3 linked regions of the Ovis aries genome follow. The protein of the gene in region 3 binds, or shares a complex with, the protein of the main gene of each other region. Links are inferred from orthologs where the notes say so. Each region holds a gene or a part of one and is shown on either strand. Other genes may lie near its edges.

Region 1 (3,461 bases), on a different chromosome or scaffold from region 3:
CTCCTAGCTTGGGCTCCTTCTGGCCCCCCAGCACCCTGGAGCCCATGCCAGGACACTCTGTGTCACCACTCACCTATCCAATCTCCCCACCCCCTCCCCCCACGCCAGGGTGACAGAGCTGGTGAAGAAGGAGCCTGGGCAGCGGGTGCTGGTATTGGAACTTGGCTATGAGGGCGAGGAGTATGACACTAACTTTCCACGCTTGCACTACAAGCTGTGACAAGGCAGCAGCCCCACCGCCCAGCTCCATCGGGCCCTGCATCCTGAGCCCTGCGTCCCGAGCCCTGCGTCCCAAGCCCACAGCAGACACTCAATAAACACTTGTTGAAGGAAGGTGTTCAGTGGACAGGACGGGTGATGGAGCAGACACATGGCGTGTGACACAGGCGTGACAAGGACCCCTGCAGGGGAGGGAAAAGGCTCTTTTGATTCGCCTGCCTGAGTTGTGCCTTGCAGGGCTGGCGCTGCCTCCTGGAGCCTCGAGGGGTACAGAACCAGGATTGTCCAGAGAAAGGCCTTTATTGTCCCAGGCTGGAGGGCAGGGTCAGAGGTAGCTGACAACATCATTGCAAATGATGGGCTGCCGACTGCGGCAACTCATGAGGGCTGCAAAGCGTGAGACATCCGCAGGTAGTTCGGGTTCTGGGCGAGGTGGGCATGACAGTCGCTTTCCTGCCAGTGCTGCCCGGCGCGCCCTGGCTAGCTGGCGCCGCAGCTGCTCAGAGAGGCCCAGCAGGAACTGGGGGGGCCGAGCACGCGCACGGGGCCCACCCCCATTGTCCCCCTCACCCGCTGCCTCGGGCAGCTCCATCCAGTTGTGCACCAAGTCCGCAAAGCAATTGTCCCCCAGCACCAGGGGCTGGCGACTACGACCCCTGCTCAGCAGGGCTGTGGTCCAGTCCTCGGCTTCTAGCCCCCGCCAGTGCTCCAGGCAGGCATCTGGGGTGGACTTGGGCCGTGGTCGGTGGACAGGTGGTACCCGGGCCATGGGCGCTCCGCTAGGCTGGGCAACACCACTGGTTGAGAGGCGCTGTCTCCGGGGGGGCCATGCCGAGGCTGCTGGGTGCTGGGGTACGGGCAGCTCTTCCTCTCTCCATGTGCTGCCCGACACCTCTGAGAAGCCAGAGTCCCAGTCCAGGCCGTGCTCCCTGGGGCCCCCAAAGGCTGCACTCCTGTCTCCTGTCACCCCTACTTCGTCATCCTCTTCCTCCACACCACAGACCGAGTCCTCTTCCAACGCATCTGAGGCCCTGAGCTGGTGCTTGAGCCGCACGCCTGGGCGGTGTTTGGGGGGTGGCGGAAGGGGACCAGGCATTGGGGGTGAGCCAGTGTCCCGGCCACACAGCTGTGGAAGAAGAGAGGGCAGAAGTGGTAGGAGCAGTGCTGGTCACTCCGCCCTGCCTGATCAGGCCAGTTCCAAAACAGAAGGCCCAGGAGGCCTCAGCAGCAAGGCCTCTAGCGGGCACCAGGTCGGCATGGGGCGCTGGCACACGAAGCTCGTGTGGCTCCCATTGGCCGACCTGATGGCAGTCCGGCAGGCTGCAGCACGCAGAGCCGGGCAAGTTGGTACCCGCCACCAGGGCGGGAGGCAGGGTTGTGGGCCTGCATGGGGAAGTAGGTCTTGCTCAGGGCTGGGGGGGAACCCTGTGCCTCTTGAGGGATTCAGCTCCCCAAAGCCCGCAGCCTCTTTCAGAGAAGAAAAGAGCACCTTCCAGGAAGACAAGAGGTACACGCCAGCCTGGAATAAGGGGCATCAGTAGTAGCCCCACCACCTTTTTCGTTCCGTAAAAGCCCCTGTTCTGCCCAAGAAGTTTCTCCCCCACAACTTCCTGCGTTGCGCCAGCAGCACGGCCAGCTGGGCGGCTGTTACTTGATGCCCAGCGCAGCTCCCAATCGTCCGAAACCCGACGCGGGCCATCTGGGCCATCTACGCCGCCCCGCCCCCATCCTCTCTTGGATGGGCACTCGGGACAGCTCCCCCCCATCCGAGTGTCGTTCGGGTAGGAAGGCAGCCGAGCACCCCACACTAGTCCTCACGAGCCACGCCCGCCCCCAAGCCTCACCAGTTCCCAGCGCAGCTGGCCCAGGAAACTGTCAAGCCGAGCGCTGTGCATGTCCGTGCCGCAGCCCCCTCCAGGCCTGCCAGTTCCTCTTCAAACTCCAGCAAGAGCGGCGCGGAGAGGGCCCGGGGGGCCGGCCAGCGGCGCCCTTGCCCTCCGCCTGGCTCCGCGGCTCCTCCCTCTCCCCAGCTCTTGCTGCCTCCGCCGCCGCCGCCGCCGCCCCAACATCTGGCGGCCCCGCCCCGCCCCTGGCGCCTCAGCCAATGGGGCTGGGGCGGGGCTGGTGTGGCTCCACCCCCGGGGCCCTGCCGGGTGGGCGAGCCTGACGCCCACTACCCACTCCTTAGAAGCAGCTCTTATGGGGAAGGGCGGGACTGTAGCTGGAAACCTGGCGGGATCCGGCCCGGGAGTCCCCGTAGTCCCGGGCCGTTGAGCTGACTCCCAGGACAAGTCGCACCCCTGCGGCAGCCTCAGTTTCCTCATTTATTCCCAGGGGAAATTTGTGGTCCCTCCCGCCGGGGTCTCTGGAGGTCACGGGTACCGCGGCTGCGCCCTTGAGCGGGTAGATCGGGCCCAATCGTCGGGTTCGGCAGTGCTGTGGCCCTCTCGTGGTCCGACCCACTGAATCCGCTCCTGGAGCTGGCCTCCACCGTCCCTGGAAGTCATGGGAGGGGTCCGGCCCCTCCGAGGATTCAGGGAGCGCAGAACCTCGCTGCAGCACCGGAGAGGAGCCCCGGCCGAGGCCCAGCCTCCCACTCCCGTGTCTCTTGCCTCGGCCGAGCTAAGCAGGGCTGCCCTCTCGTGGGGATTCCCAACACCCGCATCCTGTCTATCCCGGACTACAGGCAGGCTGAGTGAATGCAGGGGATTACCGCAGGGAGTTCTTTGACCAAAGGATTAGAGCCGTTCCCTGAGGTGGCTAGGGCTAGGTTCAACGACACAGACTAACTGGAGACAAACTAGATAAGTCAGTAGACAGGAAAATACCAGGGAAGGCCTAGATATTTCTCATGGTGGTAGTTGAGGGGAGGGGGAGAGGACTGAAGAGGTCAGCAAAACCAGGCTCCTAGCCATTTTAGAAGGGAATAAAGGGTTTTGTTTTTGGTGTGGTGGGGAGCGCTAGAGGGCTTTTGAGCAGGTAATGACCTGGGCTGGCTGCTGTTTAGATAATCGCTGCTTTGGGAGAACCACTCTGCTGTCAAGAGTGGAGGCTCCTGCCTCATCCATCAAGGGAAGGGAGGGCCTGGATCTGGGTAGGTCTAGAGCAAACATACTTTGAGGTATGTTTTGGAGTTAAAATCAAGCCTTGCTGATACATGAGTATGGGAAGACAAAGAGAAGCATGACTCCTAGACTTCCAGGCTGAACTACTGATTGGATGGAACTGGTACGAATCAACCA
Region 2 (4,287 bases), on a different chromosome or scaffold from region 3:
TTAACAGACAAATCTTTGAAAATCACCACTCGGCACTGACACCTCTCAGTTCAAACTCTTTTACTGGCTGCCCATTAATTATAATCATTGCCTCTCAAGCTTGGATAAGAGTAGCCCCAAGGTCATTCAGCTGAGATAAACCCGGAGAAGCTCCAGCAGCACCAGTTTTACTGGAAAAAGTTTAAGGACAAGCATGACTCTTACATCAGAATAAACACTGGGAACATTTAGAGTACAGTGATATTTACATGCAATTTATGGTTGAAATCCTCTTTCAAGTGGAACTTGGAGCTTGGCTTCTATGCACACTGTACCACAAGAATAAATTGACTTCCTCTGGCATCAGGCCACCACCTTGGTAGAATGTGGGGTGGGAGGGCACAATTAAACTCCAAACTCCCTAATCTGGTTAGTTAGAACTGCTCCCCCTCCCCCTCCCTCCCCAGAGCCATCTGTCCGACTGGTTCCTGACCTGCAAAGGTCATATCACTTTGTTTTTTTTTGCTGCTTCTGCTTCTAGTCAGAGGCACTCTGAACTTTTGGACAAGGCATCCAGCTCTGTCGCTTTTGGCACGTTAACCCTTTGCCTCAGTCTTCTCACCTGGTTAACAGCAGAGTTGTGGGAGAGGATTTCAAGAGTTAACAGGGTATTTACATTTCAGCGTCTGGCTAGCCGTGTGCTCTTTCTGCTCTACGTGTTAGGCTGCTCTACTGCTACCTCCTTGTACGTGAAGACCGCCTCTTCTCTGGCCTACAAACCATTCCGGTCTTAACCCCCTCAACGCGGCACAGCCCAAGCCCACCTGGCCCTTTGCACATGCTGTTAAGAGAAGCTCCCCACCCCATCCCTTACAGTCAATTTTAGAACCAGCTCAGATATTAAGAATAAGGTGAAAGGCTGAGCATCTGTTTTTAATTTGTTTCTCTTTACGGAAACCGCCAGCGTACCGAGATAGGAGAAACGCATAATAGCGACATATTGACCAATCTCAAATCCGCGTTAAGGGGCAAAACTTGAAAGAGAGGAGAGTGTGTTTCAGGTGTGCCTCCACGCCCCACGTTCCCCATGGAGCGACTCTCCTCACGGTAACACGCGCCGGAGGCGGGTAACACGCGCCGGTGCCTTCGCCTCTCGGGTGAGCGCTGCTTTGGGAAGGAAGACCAGACTGCCGCTGCACGGTTCCCCCAGCCCCCTTAAATTCAGCAACCCCAAGTAATCTCTGCTCTCGGATGGAGCGTGACCTGCCGCCTTCCCGAAGGCCCACGCTGCTAGGAAAGCCCGGCAGACCCCACCCCGGGATTTAGACCCCCGCTCCGGCCTCCAGGTGCGCCGGAAGCGACTTCCACCTGGATGCCCTCGGCCTCGCGTTTCGGGCCGGTCCCCGCGAGGGGCGGAGCTCGGCCCGCCCCGCCTCGCCGTCAGCGGACCGTGTGGCAGCCGGGCGGGGGCCGGGAAGGGGAGAGAAGGGGAGGAGTGAGGAGAGGAGGAAAGTGGAGCCCGGCGGGCCGGAGCGAGGAAAGGAAGGGAAGGGGTGGAGGCGACTGGCAAGAGTTTGCCGGCGCGCGGGGGAGCCTCGGCCCGGGACGCGTCGCGGAGCCAGAGTCGCGGCCGCAGCGCGGAGCCTGCTGTCCCGCCTCTGCCCAGACCGCCCGCCGGGGCTGTCCCGAGCGGCGACACCCCGGGCGTCCCAGCCGGCGAGCCGGCGCAGCGGCGGCCCCGGGACTCGGCGGCGAGGGCTGCGGGAGGGATGGTGGCGGCGGGGCGCGGGCCAGAGCAGCCGCCCCCGCCTCCCGTCCGGCCGAGGCCCCCGGCCCTCCGCCCCCGCTCCCCGGCCGCACGCCCCCGCGGAGTCCGCAGCCCGCGCAGCCGCTGAGCCGGGCGCCCCACCATGCCGCGGGCCCCCGCGCTCCTGTTCTCCTGCCTCCTCGGGCTTTGCGCGCTCGTGCCCCGGCTCCCAGGTAAGCCACGCCGCCCGCTGTGCAGAAAGAAACTTCGTGGCGCCCCGAGCCGCCCGCCGGCGTCTTGGAGGGGCAGGGGCCAGGGCAATTGTTTGAAGGTGGGAGGCGTCCTCGGGGACACCCCCGAGGGGGGGCTTTCAGACTGCGTGCGCCACCCCGCGCGCGGCCCGCCGCAGCCCCGCTGGGCTGTCGTCGGCCCCCGGTCCCCTCCCGGGCGAGGAGGAGCCTTCCTGTGTAAACAGCCCTGCCCGTCTGCTGACCTAGCCCGCGAGCGCCCGCGCCCAGTGCGCGGGGAGGGCCGCAGTCAGCCCCGCGTCGGGATCTGGACTCTGCAACTCCCGGCACAAAGCGGCCCTTGTGGCCGGCCCCGGGCGGCCGGGCTGCTGGGAGGCGCCGGGTGATGCAGCCGGTGCCCTGATCGCGGGGAGCGAGGGGTAACTGGAGGCGCGTGACCAGGAGCCAAAGCGTGGGGTTCACGGCTACTCTCGAGGGCTAGACTTTTGCAAGCGTGGATGCCCAGGGTTTCCTGGTGAATCCTAGAGTTTCACCCCGTCTAGGCCAGCCGCCTTTCTTTAAAGATGTAAACATCCCTTCCTCCCCCAAGCACCCGCATACCCGAGGGGAGACCCGCTTCCGAAACCACAGCCCCACCTGGGAACCAAGCCCTACCTGGGATCTCGCGATCTACTTCCTTCTGCCTGGCTTTATGTCGGAGCTTACAAACACCCCGTGCAGCGTACTCCCCCTGATTCTGAAGGATTCTGGAGCAGGGGGTGTGCAGTTGCACTCGCGCGATCCTGCTCTGGGCTGGCGGCTGTGTGAGGACCCTCAGTTACCTGCTTTAAGTTTTCAGAGTTGGGAGACTGCTGAGGAAGGATGCTCTGTTGGCGCTGGGGTTGCCAGGCAGAAGGAGCTACCCCCACCCCGTCCCCTCTAAAAGCAGGAAGCTCCAGACTTTCTCTTTTCCGGTAGGAGATAATTGTGTTGAGGTTCTCCGTTCACTTTCAAGCCCCAAATTCGATGGCTGTTCCGAACCATGTGTCTGGCCTAGAGGGAAAGGAGGACGGTCCCCTGCAGAGTTTCATTTACATGAAGGCAGTGAAGGTTGCTGTCTGAGACAGAGGAGAGGTCTAGACAAACAAAAACTTTTTTAGGCGATATTTCAGACTTATTACTGTAACAGGTTTCTTTCATCAGTCCAGAGCTTGGAGTGAATCACTGTTTTCCAAACACCCATCTGGCAACCAGTGCCCATTGCTCATGGGTCCCAGGGAAGGGCAAAGAGAGGGATATAGCCTGTGTTATACACAGGAATATATTATTGCCAACAGCCCCCTGCTTCACAAGGACTGTCCTTTAATTTGAAATTCTTTTTTATTATTAGGAAGACTTAAAAAAATGATTGGTAGTGATAATAGGGTAGTTTTTTGTTTGGAGCAAATGAAAAAACTGGCAATCCTATATAAATTTTACCTTCTCTTTTTGTTTTCTTTTTAAATTATAATCTGTGAAATACAGAAGTGTAGGAACTGCTGAAGGAGATGATTTCTTAGTTTCCTTACAGGTTGACATCCTGGTTCTGAGACAAACTTAAATACTTCCAGTTGCAAATAGTTCTTTCAATCCGTTATTTTCCATTTGCATTGTGATTTCTGCTTTTCAAATTTCATATTTTTGTTTTTAATGATCTCCGTTTTGGGGGTTAGCCCAGGATAGTGAACTGGTTTGCCCACTGTCCTTGTGCATAGGCCTCATAACTTTTTGGTTTAGGGCCCTTTGTCCTGCATGACACAATTTAGGTAGGGAAAAAAGCATTGAGCCCACAGAGGTTTATTTCCAGTGCTGTCTCTTCTCCTGGAATTGTGTTAGAGCTCAGCCATCGCTCCATGGATCAGCAGAACAATGGGAGAGCAAGCCCATCACTGGCTTCCAGACCTGGCCACCTTCCTCTTAATGCCCTGGAGCTTCTCAAGGTTACCAGCGACTGACACATATCTGTGTGATTTCTCCTCGTTTCCCAGTGTTGCTGAGCCAGCTGCAAGTCTGAAACAGCTTTTCTTTTCTCTTCCTTCCCTTGTTTTCTCTTTTTCTTGAAGCACTGCAGGTACTTTATCCAATTTGTGTTCTGCTACTAGGACAGAATTTGACAGAAAAACCTTGATTACCCACTAAGAGAAAAAGGTGACCTGCAGGGTCCTGCCTGCCTGGGTGTCCCTAGATCGGTGGTTAAGTTACCAGTCTATTGCTTTGCACTGCTTTCATCTGTGTGTTTAATCCAGCAGGAAACAGACTTTTAATTTAAGGGGGCTCACTTCAAACAAGTCCCCA
Region 3 (3,500 bases):
CCCTCAGCGGTGTCAGCTGCCCGAGATCACCCATCTGCCTCCTTGACAGGGTCTGTGCTGGGGCTCCCGGGGGAGGCAGCCCGAGTCCCATGAGTACCAGAGGCTGGGCAGGGATTCGGACCGGGCTGGCTCTCCAGGCCGTGCCCGGGGCCCTGGCTTCCCGGCAGGAGGCATGTCTTTAGTTGGCAGGGGGTGAGATGGATGCTGCCTGTCCCTCTGCAACAACCAACTCCTCAGAACCAAGGATTTACACCTTCTTGGGAACTATGGGCCCTACTGAGACTCCCGAGGATGTCAGTGGACCCTCCAGAGAGCACGTTCACACACTGCACATACAGTTCTGTGCTCACCCGTGTGCCCCAAACACGTCTGTAGAATCTTCAGGTGTCCATGACCCCAACCGAGACTCCCTGGGAAGCAAAGCCTTCCCCCAATCCCCCGCCTCTGTGAACTGGCTTAACTTTCCTGGGGGAGGGCAGGCAGATCACCAACCAGAATCTGGTGAAAGTCAAGGGCCCCCTCCCCCTGAAAAATCACATCCGCTCTTGGAATACGAATGCAGGTTCTGGGACCAGGAGGCTTATCCATGGACTGCAAGCTTGGAGCTTCAGTCCAGAAGACAGGACCGGGAGTCCACAGCCCAGTCCTGGACACCAGGCCAGGGGCAGGCTGCCACATGGCCGAGAGCTGTGGCTGGCCACCTGGATGCAATCTCCCCACTCTGGGTCCGGGGCTAGACTCCAGCTCTCAGCAGCTGGGGCTGATGATGGCAGAGCCCCCCACTCACCTGGACCCCTGACTCTGGACTGATGCACGAGGAAGGAATACACGTACTGCTCCTCAAGGGACTGAACTGGGCGCTGGGCCCACCCCACCCACAGGGCGAGAGCTGGGCAGAGGCCAGGGGAGGCCAAGCCACCCCACCACTGCTCACCCTGCCGTCGTGGGTCAGCAGGATGGAGTCACTCTTGATGTCCCGGTGGATGACTCCCTGGGCGTGGAGCACGGACAGGGCCTGCAGCACGGCCAGGCACACAGCAGCGATCTGCTCCTCGTTCATCCTGGGAGGGCAGGGCAGGTGGGGGGGCGCGGAGTGAGTGGGGAAGACAAGGGCCCCATCCTGGGGTCTGATGGGGACACGGCCCCACCCTGGAGGAGTGATGGGGACAGTGTGTTGGTTCTGAGACGTGGCCCCACCCCAAGGGGTCTAGAGGGGAGCAGTCCTGATATGGGCGAGGTCTGGGGACACTCTGGGGACCCAGCAGCGTCCAGCTGCCCGGCTGTACCTGGTGTGCGTGACGATGTCGGTGAGGGCACCTCCCTCCAGGAACTCCATCACCACCCAGAGCTCGTCCCCGACCAGGTAGCTGTTGTACATCTCCACCACGTTCTCATGCTGGTAGTCCCTCATGATCACCACCTGCTTGCGGGAGGCGGGGTTGGCACAGTGCGGGGAGGACCAGCAGTCCCTGCCGCCAGAGCCCGCCCTCTTGGCCTGGGGGGGTGCCCTGCCAAACTGCAGGTCCAGTTCCACCTGCCACTCTTGCTCCTCGGGGTCCAGTCCAGGGACTGTCCTCCCACGGCTGAAGCCAAGAGGCCCAGAGGCAGCGAGGGCCTGATATCTGTGTTCTATTCCGGGGTGCTCCCACCCCATGCACACCTCACACTGCTGACGCTGGCCTCTGGCCAGCCCTGAGTGGGTCTGCGAGCAGCCCTGAGTGGGTCTGCGAGCAGCCCTGATGGCCAGGCTGGCACTGGGAGAGGGCGCTGGGACGAGAGCACTGAGCACAGGGCTGAGACCAGAAGGACAAGCAGGCAGCTCAGACACAAGGCGGGGCTGGGGGTTAGATTCCAGGGGCAGGAAGGCCTATCGAGGCAAAGCCTGGAGGTGGGGACATGACGCTCACCGTGTGCTGCATTGGGGGAAGGGCGACAGGCTCAGGCCTGAGGGGCTGGAGTGGGAATGGGGAGGTTCAGGGCCCCAGCCTGGGGACAAGGGGTGGTGGGGCCTCTCTGAGATGGGGAACCAGGAAAGGCAGGTGTGGGGTCAACAGTGTGGGGCCAGTATTGGACCTGGTGGTGAGGGGCCTGGAAGGCACATAGAGAGTCAGTGGGGCCTGGCCAGGACAGGACGGCATGGCAGTGGGTATCATGGGGACAGAGGACACAGCCTGGGGAGGCGCAAGGAGTGGGGACAGGAGCTGGGCTCGGAACTCACGCCTGGCAAACCCCAGCCCCACAGGACCTCTCCTGGTTCTCAGCCCTGCATGCCCTCCAAACTGTGGGGTAGGGGAGCCCCGGGAGGAGTGGGGCAGCGGCGGGGGGCAGGTGGGGAGGCGGGGAGCCCCGGGAGGAGTGGGGGCAGGTGCGGGGGGCAGGTGGGGAGGCGGGGAGCCCCGGGAGGAGTGGGGCAGCTGCGGGGGGCAGGTAGGGAGGCGGGGAGCCCCGGGAGGAGTGGGGGCAGGTGCGGGGGGCAGGTGGGGAGGCGGGGAGCCCCGGGAGGAGTGGGGCAGCTGCGGGGGGCAGGTGGGGAGGCGGGGAGCCCCGGGAGGAGTGGGGCAGCGGCGGGGGGGCAGGGGGGGAGGCGGGGAGCCCCGGGAGGAGTGGGGCAGCTGCGGGGGGCAGGTGGGGAGGCGGGGAGCCCCGGGAGGAATGGGGGCAGGTACAGGAGCCCTGGGGGAAACAGCGGGCCCTGAGAGGAGCCGGGGGCCCTGGGAGGAGCCGGGGGCAGGGGGGTCCCAGGGGGCGTGGGGTAGTTGGGGGGGGCCCTGGGGGGAGTGGGGCAGGTGGGGGGGTGGGGGAGCCCTGGGGGGAGTGGGGCAGGTGGGGGGTGGGGGAGCCCTGGGGGGAGTGGGGCAGGTGGAGGGGTGGGGGAGCCCTGGGGGGAGTGGGGCAGGTGGAGGGTGGGGGGGCTCTGGGGGGAGTGGGGCAGGTGGGAGAGTGGGGGGGTTCTGGGGGAAGCAGGGGGGCCCAGGAGGAGCACGGGGGGGCAGGGGGGCCCAGGAGGAGCATGGGGGGCAGGGGGCCCAGGAGGAGCACGGGGGGGGGCAGGGGGGCCCAGGAGGAGCACGGGGGGCAGGGGGGCCCAGGAGGAGCACGGGGGGCAGGGGGCCCAGGAGGAGCACGGGGGGGCAGGGGGGCCCAGGAGGAGCACGGGGGGGGCAGGGGGGCCCAGGAGGAGCACGGGGGGGCAGGGGGCCCAGGAGGAGCACGGGGGGCAGGGGGCCCAGGAGGAGCACGGGGGGGCAGGGGGGCCCAGGAGGAGCACGGGGGGGCAGGGGGCCCAGGAGGAGCACGGGGGGGGGCAGGGGGGCCCAGGAGGAGCACGGGGGCCCAGGAGGAGCACGGGGGGGCAGGGGGCCCAGGAGGAGCACGGGGGGGCAGGGGGGCCCAGGAGGAGCACGGGGGGGCAGGGGGGCCCAGGAGGAGCACGGGGGGGCAGGGGGGCCCAGGAGGAGCACGGGGGGGCAGGGGCCCAGGAGGAGCACGGGGGGGCAGGG

Evidence for each region.
Region 1: the proteins of PAK4 (region 3) and INKA1 are in contact, whole or in part, in a crystal structure (PDB 4XBU), measured with the Homo sapiens proteins. The link is inferred for Ovis aries from reciprocal best matches to the Homo sapiens genes PAK4 and INKA1. Residues at the interface, in NP_001014831.1 of Homo sapiens: Ser331, Gln358, Arg359, Glu361, Leu362, Thr404, Asp440, Lys442, Ser443, Asp444, Phe461, Leu475, Val476, Gly477, Thr478, Pro479, Tyr480, Trp481, Met482, Arg489, Glu507, Glu512, Phe516, Asn517, Glu518, Pro519, Pro520, Met524; in NP_976248.2 of Homo sapiens: Gly178, Arg179, Ser180, Arg181, Gln182, Pro183, Leu184, Val185, Leu186, Gly187, Asp188, Asn189, Cys190.
Region 2: the proteins of PAK4 (region 3) and ITGB5 are in contact, whole or in part, in a crystal structure (PDB 7S46), measured with the Homo sapiens proteins. The link is inferred for Ovis aries from reciprocal best matches to the Homo sapiens genes PAK4 and ITGB5. Residues at the interface, in NP_001014831.1 of Homo sapiens: Gly330, Ser331, Gln358, Arg359, Leu362, Thr404, Lys442, Ser443, Asp444, Asp458, Phe461, Leu475, Val476, Gly477, Thr478, Pro479, Tyr480, Trp481, Met482, Glu507, Glu512, Phe516, Asn517, Glu518, Pro519, Pro520, Met524; in NP_002204.2 of Homo sapiens: Ser762, Arg763, Ala764, Arg765, Tyr766, Glu767, Met768, Ala769, Ser770.

Annotation. Positions count from the first base shown.
Region 1 is NC_056072.1:50,476,862-50,480,322, forward strand, and holds INKA1 (PAK4-inhibitor INKA1), read right to left. Parts: upstream 2,229-3,461; 5' UTR 2,115-2,228; coding exon 2,064-2,114; intron 1,346-2,063; coding exon 545-1,345; 3' UTR 501-544; downstream 1-500. Other genes in the region: UBA7 (ubiquitin-like modifier-activating enzyme 7), read left to right, coding at 109-220. UniProt on the Homo sapiens protein: Inhibitor of the serine/threonine-protein kinase PAK4. Acts by binding PAK4 in a substrate-like manner, inhibiting the protein kinase activity.
Region 2 is NC_056054.1:190,163,977-190,168,263, reverse strand, and holds the start of ITGB5 (integrin beta-5), read left to right. Parts: upstream 1-1,487; 5' UTR 1,488-1,889; coding exon 1,890-1,959; exon of another isoform or gene 1,960-4,287.
Region 3 is NC_056067.1:48,257,968-48,261,467, reverse strand, and holds part of PAK4 (serine/threonine-protein kinase PAK 4), read right to left. Parts: intron 1,421-3,500; coding exon 1,287-1,420; intron 1,062-1,286; coding exon 935-1,061; intron 1-934. UniProt on the Homo sapiens protein: Serine/threonine-protein kinase that plays a role in a variety of different signaling pathways including cytoskeleton regulation, cell adhesion turnover, cell migration, growth, proliferation or cell survival.